3 linked regions of the Drosophila melanogaster genome follow. The protein of the gene in region 3 interacts with the protein of the main gene of each other region in a pairwise test. Each region holds a gene or a part of one and is shown on either strand. Other genes may lie near its edges. The genes, in order: CG17560, Ptp61F and Mpi.

Evidence for each region.
Region 1: the proteins of Mpi (region 3) and CG17560 interact in a two-hybrid assay, tested with the Drosophila melanogaster proteins (one large-scale study listed by BioGRID).
Region 2: the proteins of Mpi (region 3) and Ptp61F interact in a two-hybrid assay, tested with the Drosophila melanogaster proteins (one large-scale study listed by BioGRID).

What each region holds. Positions count from the first base shown.
Region 1 is NT_033777.3:16,615,994-16,619,748, reverse strand, and holds the start of CG17560 (uncharacterized protein), read right to left. Parts: upstream 1,800-3,755; 5' UTR 1,769-1,799; coding exon 1,693-1,768; intron 1,643-1,692; coding exon 1,530-1,642; intron 1,473-1,529; coding exon 962-1,472; exon of another isoform or gene 907-961; coding exon 195-906; intron 140-194; coding exon 52-139; 3' UTR 1-51. Other genes in the region: CG17562 (uncharacterized protein), read right to left, coding at 2,669-2,756, 2,816-3,527, 3,585-3,755.
Region 2 is NT_037436.4:1,348,681-1,352,435, forward strand, and holds the start of Ptp61F (protein tyrosine phosphatase 61F), read right to left. Parts: upstream 1,920-3,755; 5' UTR 1,797-1,919; coding exon 1,692-1,796; intron 863-1,691; exon of another isoform or gene 519-862; intron 1-518. Other genes in the region: CG9166 (uncharacterized protein), read left to right, coding at 2,506-2,791, 2,849-3,109, 3,173-3,351. UniProt on the Drosophila melanogaster protein: Non-receptor protein tyrosine phosphatase. Required for maintaining dock/dreadlocks in its non-phosphorylated state. Negative regulator of InR/insulin-like receptor signaling through dephosphorylation of tyrosines when recruited by dock/dreadlocks.
Region 3 is NT_033777.3:9,757,568-9,761,322, reverse strand, and holds Mpi (mannose phosphate isomerase), read right to left. Parts: upstream 1,702-3,755; 5' UTR 1,598-1,701; intron 1,474-1,597; 5' UTR 1,422-1,473; coding exon 845-1,421; intron 792-844; coding exon 178-791; 3' UTR 115-177; downstream 1-114. Other genes in the region: Alg12 alpha-1,6-mannosyltransferase, read right to left, coding at 2,112-3,189, 3,249-3,620, 3,674-3,755.

The sequences.
Region 1 (3,755 bases), 6.9 Mb from region 3:
AATATGTCATACCGTTGAGTCTGTTGAGGACATCTAGCCCCTCTGCGAAAACTAAACTACAAGTCTGGCCAGAGAATACAGGATGTAACCAGCTAAAGCAACCAGCGAGGATGCGAATGCATAGTGAAGGACCTTCAGGCTGCAAACATTTTATGTTACTTAAAGCGATTGGAAAGTGTCATTTTGAAACTCACCGCATCCTCAGCTTCAGACCCTTGGCAATGGACTCCGCGGTGGGTTTCTCCTTGCCAATATAGAGACGCATTCCATACATGGCGGCCTTGAAATAGTCATTCCAATCCAACTGGGCCATGTCGAAGTCGTAAAGGTTGCGATCCTGCTTGGACATCGCTTCCCTTAGCTCCATTGTGTTGGTCATGTCAAAGTTCCAGGTGGTACTGGAGAACGGACCCAGGACGGCGATGTTCTTGTGAATCTTCCGATACAGATCCACGAGTATGGGCTTCCGGCCCTTGAGGCGCAGCAGCAGATCGAAGAAGTAGCCGGGAAGGGTGTGTAAGAAGAAGGCGGCCAGCGGAAATAGGGATGTGGTGGAGATGCACAGGACGAAGGGATACCACAGCATCTTGGTTAGCGGTATGATGTCCCGATAGATAATAGATGATTTGATAAAGTTTCCGTAGCTCATCAGGTTATTCTCGCTAGGTGCAAACGCGTAAATGGGGGGCGTCGTGACCTTTCCATTCTGTACGGATATCTCCGCCGTTCTCCAAGCGCAAGCCAATGCCACATTTACGCAGTAGTCAGCGGGAACTAGGCTGATCTTGGCTGAAGGGTCCACCGTGGTGACCCGCATTATACCGCGAGCTCCGCCGAAGCAGAGGGCCAGTGGTCCGAATAGGTTGTCCACCCATCCAACCAGGGGCTCCTTGTAAGTGGACATTACTGGGAATATTTAAGTTGCAGCTTTTGAAGGTTATTCCCAATCTGGTGCACTTACTGATCGCCGGTCGGAAGATGGACAGTGGCAGGTTGCCCGCCTCCCGCAGGATCACATCCTCGGCCAGGGCTTTGGTGTAGGTGTACGTGTTGGGGAAGGAGCCAACAAGGCTAGGTTCCATCGCGTCCAGTAATTTATTGCTTACCAGTTCACCCACGGCTAGGATCTTATCCGAACTGCAGTTCAAGTGCTCCGGATAGAATCGCTCTGCGATGTCATGCACCACGCAGTTGGAGTAGGCAGTGGATACGTGAACGAAGGACACCAGCTGGGTCATCTGCTTGGCCAGTTGAAGCATCAGACGAGTGGCTCGTACATTGATGGCCAAGGAGATGTGTAAAGCCTCGTCGAATCGCACGGTTGCAGCTCCATGGATTACAATCTGCACCTCGGCGGTCAGGATCCTTTGATCCGATTGGCTTATACCCAGATCCGGATCCAAGCAGTCGCCCGCGATGGGACAAACTCGCTGCAAGGCATCTGGCTTCGTCCTTAGGAGCACCTCAAACACCTTCGAAACACGAGCGGTCAGGACACATCTGTCACTCTAGCACTGAATATCACTCACCGGATCCTTTGCCCAGGTTGTGATTCGGTCCTCGATAGGCACTCCCCGCTTAGGTCTAATTAAGGAGTAAATCCGATTGACTTCCGTGGTCCTCAGTAGTTTCTCAATGATCACTGAAAAGCACACTCCATAAGCTTGCGAAAAGATTCGAGGAGTGGGGTACCTTTTCCCAGAAATCCGGTGCCACCCGTAAGGAACACGGTCTTGTTCTTAAAGAATCCTTGTATCTCGCTATCCATTTTGTTCCGAGTAAGGGTCTTGAACGCGTTGCGAGCCAGTGAACTGAAAAGTGATTCCAAACTAGCGCTTCTATTTATTTGGGAATCTATAAGTTACACCCAACAAAGGTCGAGTTCAGCATATTCAAGACACCCAATGGTCTCCCGTTTTAGGGAGGAGCTCGTGCTCTAAACTCAGCGAAAGTTTATTTTTTGGGTATAGATAATTATTTGTGTTGCTTCGATTAAAGGCCTAGTTGCATTTATTAATTATATTTTTGCTTACGAATGAAAATAACCTTGGTGCATTTAATTTAAAATTTTAAAGTTGATTCGAGACTTAGTATAGAGCTGCCATCTCTTGCGTGAAATTCAAATTAGTATATGTGTGAATGGTAAACAAGAATGGTAAATGATAAATTGCATGCGATGACTTTGTATTTCCGCGTATATAAATTTTGTATGGGCACGTGTAAGAAGTCCCCGATCAGTCGTTACGTAATCGCATATAAGTATCCTCGTGACTACACCGTATATGTGCTAGACCTTGTATTCTGTATAGGAACCACACATATATATGTTATATCATAACATTTTATATACCAATTTATGGCCTATTTATTTCAATAAGGTTTGATCAATAGAATACCAGAGAGCGATTTCAATTAAAAAATTATTACATTATAATAGGTGCATACTATTGTATATATATCACTTCTTGATGTAACCAGTTGCGTATACTTTATGCAATCGATTGTGTCACTCAGTGCACCTATTTAGATCGGCTCGTGAGGAAAAAACCTTATAGCTACCACCATTCAAGTAATTAAATAAAAGACATGTCTATGTGTTGTATATATTTATTTAATTCCATGACGCAATTACGAAAGTGAGTCGGTGGGTTGCCTATGTACTGCTGAATCAGACTAGGATCCTTACCAACGACCACAGTGCTAGTAGTGCCACAAAGCAAAGGACACCTTGCAGGATATGATGGAGCAGCTTTAAACTAAAATACAATTAGATGTAATACACTTTGTAAGAAACAGAAAAGACAATGGAAACTACCGCTTAATGAGCTTCTTGCCCTGTGCAATGGACTCTGGGGTGGGTGCCTCGTTTCCCAAGAACTGTCTCATGCCACGCAGAGCTTGAACGAAGTATTCCTTCCAGTTGAGGCTGACCATATCAAAGTAGTATATCCTTCGATCCTCCTCCGACATCTGCTGCCTCAAGTGATCCGTATTCCGCATGTCAAAGCGCCAGCTTTTGCAGGCGAATGGGCCCAGGATGCCGAGAGTCTTGTGGATCTTTTGGTAAACCTTTACTAGTCTGGGCTTCCGGCCACTCAGCCAGAGAGCCAGGTCAAAAAAGTAGGCTGGCAGGGTGTGATAGAAGAAAGCTGCCAGGGGGAAGAGCCACGGCACTGTGATGCAGTGGATGAAGGGATACCATATCATCTTTGTCAGCGGGCAGTTGGTGCGTCCATCGAGAGCATGTCGAATGAACTCCCCGTGGGTGATCTTGTTCTGCTCAATGGGCGCCAGTTGGTAGATGAGAGGAGTTTCTTGTGTTCCCATCTCGTTACCTTCCACAATGGTCTTCCAGGTACAGGCCAGAGTCAAATTGGCACAATAATCCACGGGCACCAGGCTTGCCTCGGCATGGTGATCGATGGTGGCAATGCGCAGTACTCCACGGGCCACCCCGAAAAGAATTGCCATTGGTCCGTACATGTTGTCTATCCAGCCGGAGATGGGTTCCTTGTGGGCCGCAATAACTGGGTAAGGGTAGAAATGACAAGATGTAGACAGAGTACGTAATAAGGATTACTTACTGACTGCCGGTCGGAAGATGCAAAGTGGCAAGCCACCCGCTTCCTTCAGGATCACATCCTCCGCCAGTGCTTTGGTGTACGTGTACGTGTTGGGAAACGAGCCAAGGAGCGCTTGCTCCATGTTGTCCAGTAGCTCGTCACTCATCAGCTCTGCCATTGCAAGCACCTTAT
Region 2 (3,755 bases), on a different chromosome or scaffold from region 3:
AGCAAAGCATAGCAAAACAATACGGTCCGAATGCGTCACTGCGTTTTTGGCTACAGTCCAAATCCCCTATGATGGGCTATCATATGGCAAATGTCAAATAAATTGGAAGTTTTAATGATAACCACAAAATTAGTTGTACCGTTTATGTTCACACATATTTGCGATTTATTAATTCTTAGAAGAATGTGTTTTGGAATTTCTATAATAAAGACAGATAAGTGCCTATAATGGATTATAATTTTCTTCAGAAATGTAGTAGCATGCACAGCTAAATGTTATTAAAGTAAAAATTGGGGTAGGTCGGTCTTATTCATAAAGTAATCATCGAAAAATGTGATGTTTTCACATTGATCATAGTTGTTTTTCATTGCAACAAAAATGAGTCAACGTTTACATGCTATGGAACATATAAAATTCAGCGAATTTAGATGAATTTCACGAAAGTAATATTATCAAGCTGAAAACTATTTATGATTTAATGAGAAAATATGATTAAAGAAAGTTTATTGAAATCTCACTTTGGCCTAACAAGATCGTCTTAGTCAAGTTGCACTGTATTTCAGTGGAAATGGCTGGTAGCTATTTTCCAGTCAGTTTCGACGCACAATTGCGGGCTGCCTTCCAGTTAGCTGGAAAATTAGATTATCCTCGACGCGAGCACAAAGGATGACGAACGAGGATGCCGAGGAGCGGGTCCAGAAACGAGATATTTCTACACACGACCATATACTGTGTCATCCTAACTGCGGAGTGGAATTCCGTGAAATCCCAATTCAAGTGAGTGGAAGCGCTGAAAGAGGCACAGAGGAACAGAGGAGGAGGAGTAGCAGCTGAAGACAGTTCGCCGGAACTGGCTATAAAGAACGAGTGGAGGTGGAGGAGGAGAGAAGAAGGGGCAAGGAGAGGATTCCGACTCCAATTCCGACAGGCAACCAGAAGCAGCCCAAAGCGAGACTCAAAAAACCAGACGCATGCCCTTTGTGCCCCTGTGTGCGTGAGCCTCTCTCTCCTGCTCAACGCGAGCGGGTGTGTGTGTGTGTGCGCGCGTTAGAGGAGTTCTTCAGTGGAGAGCACTGTCACCCCTCCACGAATTGTATTTTGTTTTTGGGGGACGGCAATCACAAACACAACGAGCTTCCCAGAAATCGCCTCCAATTTGATTTGGCCAAACGAGAATTCGCGGAATAGCTCAAGCGCTCTATTGATAGTCAAAGGAAAGCGTTTTTGGGGAAAGGTATGGCAGAATAACAAGCATAAATATGCCAAATACAGGCCAATACACACGCACGAACTCACACACACACGCGTTCGATGGAGAATGCAAAGTAAAGTGCAGCAGGTGTGCGTGTATGTGTGTTGGTGCTATTCTGTTTGTACATTCTTTTCCATGGGTTTTTGTTTTTGGCCAAAGCCTGGCTGTTAAAGCAACAACTGCAACAACAACAGCACTGACACACAATACACACGCACACACGTAAAGCTCGCCGCTGCACTGGTGTTGGTGGTGGAGGCATCTGCAGAAGCCTTTTGCGCACTCATCACATTTTCGTGGAAATCGGAGCGCCAAGGAGCTGTGGAAAGGTGTATACTCCGCATCCGTTGCGAATCCTTGGCGAATCGAACTGTGCCACAATCATTCGTCCAGTTTGTAACCAGTTTTCAGTGCAGTCGCAGTTGTTGTTGCCAATTACCTTGTAGAAGCGATGCCATTGCGGCCCCTTGTCCTTGTACTCCGCCTCGATTTGCAGACGGGCAGCGGCCGCCGACCCACTCCCACTCGTTTTCTGCTCGCTCATTGTGCACACTTTGCTGCGATTTGTTCCGATTTAATAACTTTTAATTTGGTTATCAGGCGGCTGGTTAATTTCAGAGGAGAACTAGAGCTGGACAACTCACGACAGTGTCGATGTATCGAATATTTGAGCTTGCGAAATACTATCGGTATTTGCAGTGCGATACCGAGTGATAGTTCGATTGTACATCACTATATTGATCGCATTACATATTATATTCTCTTATGGTGATTCCTATTTACAAATGCAAGCCAAACACAATATATTGTATCTGCGACATTATTATTCTGAAATATTAGTTACGTCTATCGATATTTTCACCATCAAATAATGTGACCAGGCGCTGTAGAGCAATAGAACACATACTGAAACTAAAGTGCTTGCGCAGAAATTAGAACTTTACTGAAACATAATATAACATTCGGGATAAGTTTTCTATAATTTATATAAAATTAAATACTTAACTAAAGACATAACAATATAAAAACAATTGAAATAAAATATTTTAAATAAAAATAAAATAAAAAAAATAAAATAAAATATTTTAAAAGTAAAATAGAAAAATTCTGATAAGAAAATTGGGTTCAAATACTTTAAAATACCGATATTACAATCGCTCATCGTTGACCAGTGTTATCGAGTAATACCAAAAGTATCGAATCAACAACTGTTACCCAATTTATTAATAACAACAGAAAGAAGCCAAAGCAAAATGCTGACCCGCGTGTTCCGCCTAGTGCACGACAGGCGCCTGAGTGTGCCTGTCCTGCGTTGCTTCCACCACGAGTTCTCCAAGCCGCCACAACAGGCAGCGAAGGGCCAGGAAATCGAAGGCAATCCCGAAAAGACTTTGGTTGCCGGCGTGCAAGACAAGTACAAAATATTCCGCGATGAGGAAGCCACGGAGATTTTTGATGTGGAAGAGGCACGCCACCAGGAGCAGCAACTTCCAGAGCCGGACCTGGAGCTGGATCACTATTACGGCCTCAATTTAAAGCGTAGGTTGGCAATCGTCCAGGGAGAGCAGAAATTTAAGCCTTTGTTTCCCTTTGCAGGAGGTGTTCGCGGAGTGTTCGACGTTGAGGACTTGGTGGAGCTGCTCCGCAAGGAGAATGTGGACGACATATTCGTCTGCTACGTGCCGGAGAACCTGAAGTACGTTGACCACCTGGTGGTTTGCAGTGGTCGCAGTTACCGACACATGCTGTCCACCGCGGAGTTCGTGCGCCGAATGTTCAAGATCAAGCGGGGCAAGGGTGACATATTGCCGCGCATCGAGGGCGATAAGAGCCGGGATTGGATGGCCATGGACTTGGGTGGGTATTGAAATAAATGCATATTCCGGTTTCTCCGCTCTAACACGTTCCGTTTCCTTTTAGGCAACATTGCCCTGCACATATTTTCACCGAGTGCTCGCGAGGAATACGATCTGGAGTCGCTGTGGGCCATTGGCTCCGAATTCGACCGCGAAAGCCAAAAACCCACCAATCCCTATGGCGATATTTTCATGGCTCAAACACCCCTTTCTTTCGTAGACAAATCGAAACTAAAGACGTAAAATAATACATTTCACTATTAATAAAAAAAAACTCTTTAGAGCTGCGTACGTGCGAGATCACTTGCAGTGTGATTTGGAAAAACAATAAGGTATGAATAAATATTTCGTGTCAGACTTGTTATTCTCGTGTCACGGCCAAAATAACTATGCGATCGCCCATCTCTAGTTTCTTACTGGGTGCATTCGCTCAGGCAGCCATCTTTAAAATAACTGTAATTTTTATTAACATCGAGCTCTAATAGGGCAATAATAGCCATAATCCGTCAGAATATGACAGCAGTATTTCCAAACAGGAGCTAAATTCTTTTGTAGATGGCCAAGCGACGCTAGCGCCACCTATTTCTGAAAATCTGATAATAACAAGTGCGCACTAAAGTATACTGCAAAAAATGAAAATAACTCTT
Region 3 (3,755 bases):
ATGTACTATGGAACGAGTATAGCCAATTGATTAGATAACTTATTTATCGCTACTATTGCCACTTTAGCTTACATTCTTAGCTCTTAATTGCAAGTAAATATAAACAAAATAATTCACCACCAAAACGTGTTAATGGATTTATTGCACTGTACAAAATATTTCGATTAACTGAGAATTTTAGGGCACTCGAAAGTAGTTGCTGGTTGCTATGTAGCCGCTGAAGTCCTCGTCGCAATCGTCGGACTGGGCGAATTCGATTTCCGGCGCCGCCTCGACGGGAATGTACACAATGCTGCCGCGGGTTACCAAGATCTCCTTATCTCCCTGCTGGGTTTTCAATTTAAGAATGCGGGATCCCTTTAGAACTATCAATATGGAGCCGAATGCTTGTATCTCCAGCTTGTACGACTCCAGCGAGTGTTCGATATTCACATTTATCACTGCAAAGTCGGATACTGGCGGAATATAGACCTGGACCTGGTCATCTATGCGGTACGGAATGAACTCCTTGCGATCCTTATACGAACTTTCGAAGATCACAGATTCCAGCAGCTGGTCCACATCCTTGTACTTGGGCGTTAGGCCCGCCCGTATCACATTGTCCGAGCAAGCCATGCACTCCACACAGTCGCCGTCCAGGTAGGCATGAATCTCGTTCGCGCCCAAGTAGATCGCCTGGCCGGGCTGCAGGCGGATTAGGTTGAGGAAGAACAGGGACAGTACGCCCACATCGCCGGGGAAGTCTTTGTTGACCTTGGTGAACACCTCAAGCAGATCGTTGGATTTCAGTTCTATTTTAGAGGAATGTTTACAAATCTTTCATAGATTGCACAGAATGGCTCACCGTTTTGGTAATCCTTGGCTATTTCACTGATGCACTTGGCTATCACCGGCTCTTCGGTCTTCATCAGCTTCTCGTAGCACAACTTAACGCTTTCCGAGTTGGTCGAGTCATGGAGCTGATCCACAGCCTCCTTGCCAATGAGTTTACTCAGCGGCTGGAACTCATCGATGTAGTCCCTGATATCTTCGGCTGACATAAATCCCACGAGGGCCAGAAAGGGCGTGAGGGCAATGGCCAGTTCCGGCTTGTGATTGGGATCCTTGTAGATATCCGGGCGCTCCTTGTGCAGGCGCTCCGCTTCGCACTTGTTCGGATGCACCTGGATGCTGAGTGCCTTGTTGATGCTTAGCACCTTGAACAGGTATGAAAGGTCCTTCTTTAGCACTCGGTCCAGAGTCTCTCCGGTTTCCTTGACCACGGACACACCGCACACATGCGTGCCCATCCACATTTCCGCATAGGTCTCCTCCTCGTTCAGACGAAAGTCCGGATCATTGGCCATTGCCAGCTGGGCCACCGCCGAGTTGATGCCCTTGCGGCCCCAGCCGTAGTTCTTCACCCATCCAGTCAGCTCCATTTCACCGCACCGATTGCCTTCCAAAATTCGCCGTACTGCGTTTGAGGTCAACCTGAAGGTGATAAGAAAACATATGATTGCTGGTGAATGGATACGTGTGAGAGGGGTTGGTCTGTGGTGAAAGCGCCATTAAGTGGATTAGCGTTGATACACCTGCGACATAAGGCTTATCACACCTTTTTATATAGATAACAGCTTTCTGGAAGTTTGTAATTTCGATTTTATTGCCGAAATAATTTGGTGTGTTTCCACCACTGTTACTTTAAATACATATATCGCGTTTAAGCTAGAGATGGGGATATTGCGATATCCCTAATGACTAGTTCTACATATATGACGATACTTTAATACTCTATAATTTAATTTATATTTATTTTTGGTCAGCAAAAAATATATCCGACGTGCCGTAATGTGTCATACTCTATTTGGCAATTTATGTTTAGTTAGAGCGTTTGAGCTTAATTAGGCGCGATTAGATGCGATTTAGGGGGGATTTTGAGGCGACTTTAGCGCGATTCGGACGCGATTCGGGTGCGATTTGGCCGCGACTTAATTTTCTATCAAGATATAGGAAATTCCTGAAATTTTGATTCGCTTTTATTATTGCTTTTATTTTAAATTTTTACAACTGTGCCATTAACAAACGCTTAGCTTAATTTAATAAAACAGTTTAAAGTGTGATAGGTTTTGTCATTTGGATTTCAAACCCTCGCTGTCATCTATTTTGTCTATGACCTGTTTTAAGCAATCTTTGGTCGAAGTCCTTTCCAAATCGCAGATGCGTGTCAGATCCATCGTAGCGATCTGCTCGATCATTTCCTTGATCTTCTCCTGCTTTATGATGGACTTTACGGATTGCCGTAATCCAGCCTTTCCTTGCGTTTTTTGGGTCTCTGCGGAGTCGTTTTCGATTTGTTTGCCCTTGGCGCGGTAGTGCTGCTCGATAATTTGTCGAATCTTCATCTTGGTGGCTGCTCTCGACTTCTTGGTTGCCTGTCCCAAGGCGAGGGTTCTCAGCTCCTGGAAATTGATCTCCTTCAAGGGCGTTTCGATGGTCTCTGCCCCAGCATGGGGCTCAGTATCCGTTTCCAGTTCTAGCGACATTTCCTCCACAGTGGACACGATGCCATCATCATCATCCGCATCGACTTGTAACCTGGATTTCATTTTCGGATCTCCTATCACTTTTGGAAATTCTTTAACAGGAGCTAATAACGTTTCTTTTTCCACCGGGTATGTCTTAGTTTTTGCTATTTTCTCTTTTGTTTTTGATGCCTCTTTTGGAGCCACTGGTCTCTTTTTAAGTATACCAATGCAAGGCTTCGTCTTTATTCGCACCGGCAGCAGAGAATTGTATTGAATGCCGATGCTGTTGAAGCAGTCAATAAACTCTAGCGTATCGAATTCGTTTTGGAGCGATGCCCATAGTTCAGTGTTTTGCTTGTTCTTCGCCTCGACCAAAAGATGTGTGTATGCAACCAAATCCGCCTGGGTATAGTTCATTGTCTCGTCCTTGCTGTAAGTCCATTCATTATTTATTTCCATAAAACGCGACACGCCGCTCTGGGCGGCCAAGTTGGAAATGTGAACGGAAACGTTTGAGGTGCCAGCTTCCAAGCGATGCAATCGGGAGAGGGCTGCTCCGCCCGGATAGTTGGTGCCCGAAATGACAAGCAGGAAGAGCGTTATAAAGACATTTAGCAGGAGATGGGCTCCACAGGCGAGCGCCAGAAAGCTATGCCACGTTGACTTGGCGCTGTTCATCCAACTAAACGAGGAAACCAATAATAGAAATGCATTTTACTAATGAAATAATACGACGCTTACATTCGTTGGCATGCGCAAGCCGCAGCAATGTTGAGAACTGGAAACACGTAGATGATGAAGCGCAGCTCCTTGTGCGGCAGAATGGAGTACAAAAGGACAAAGAGGAGAGCCGACAGGACCAATGGCCGAATACGTGGCTCCAATGCGACGCCGATGGGCACGAGCACCAGCGATGCACCCATGGCACGTGGCAGGGCGGAGTAAAAGTACCATAGAAAAGGCGAGGTACCCCAGTTGGAGCTCTTATTGAGTACGGTGTTGTACCATAGCACCTCACCCTCGGGCCAAAGCAGGCGGCGCCAAAAGAACGAGTCCACCAGCACTGTGGCAGCCAAAATGCAGACGCCCGCCGGCAGTGCAACTTTGAGTAGCCTATTTTTACAAATATTAGCATTGAATAGTATGCAATGATTGATAATCTTCACCCGTCAATGGAAACTTTTCGCCGTAGGAGGCTCACCACCAGCAAAATACCCAAAAATAACGCCAACTCGGATCGAAAGACGA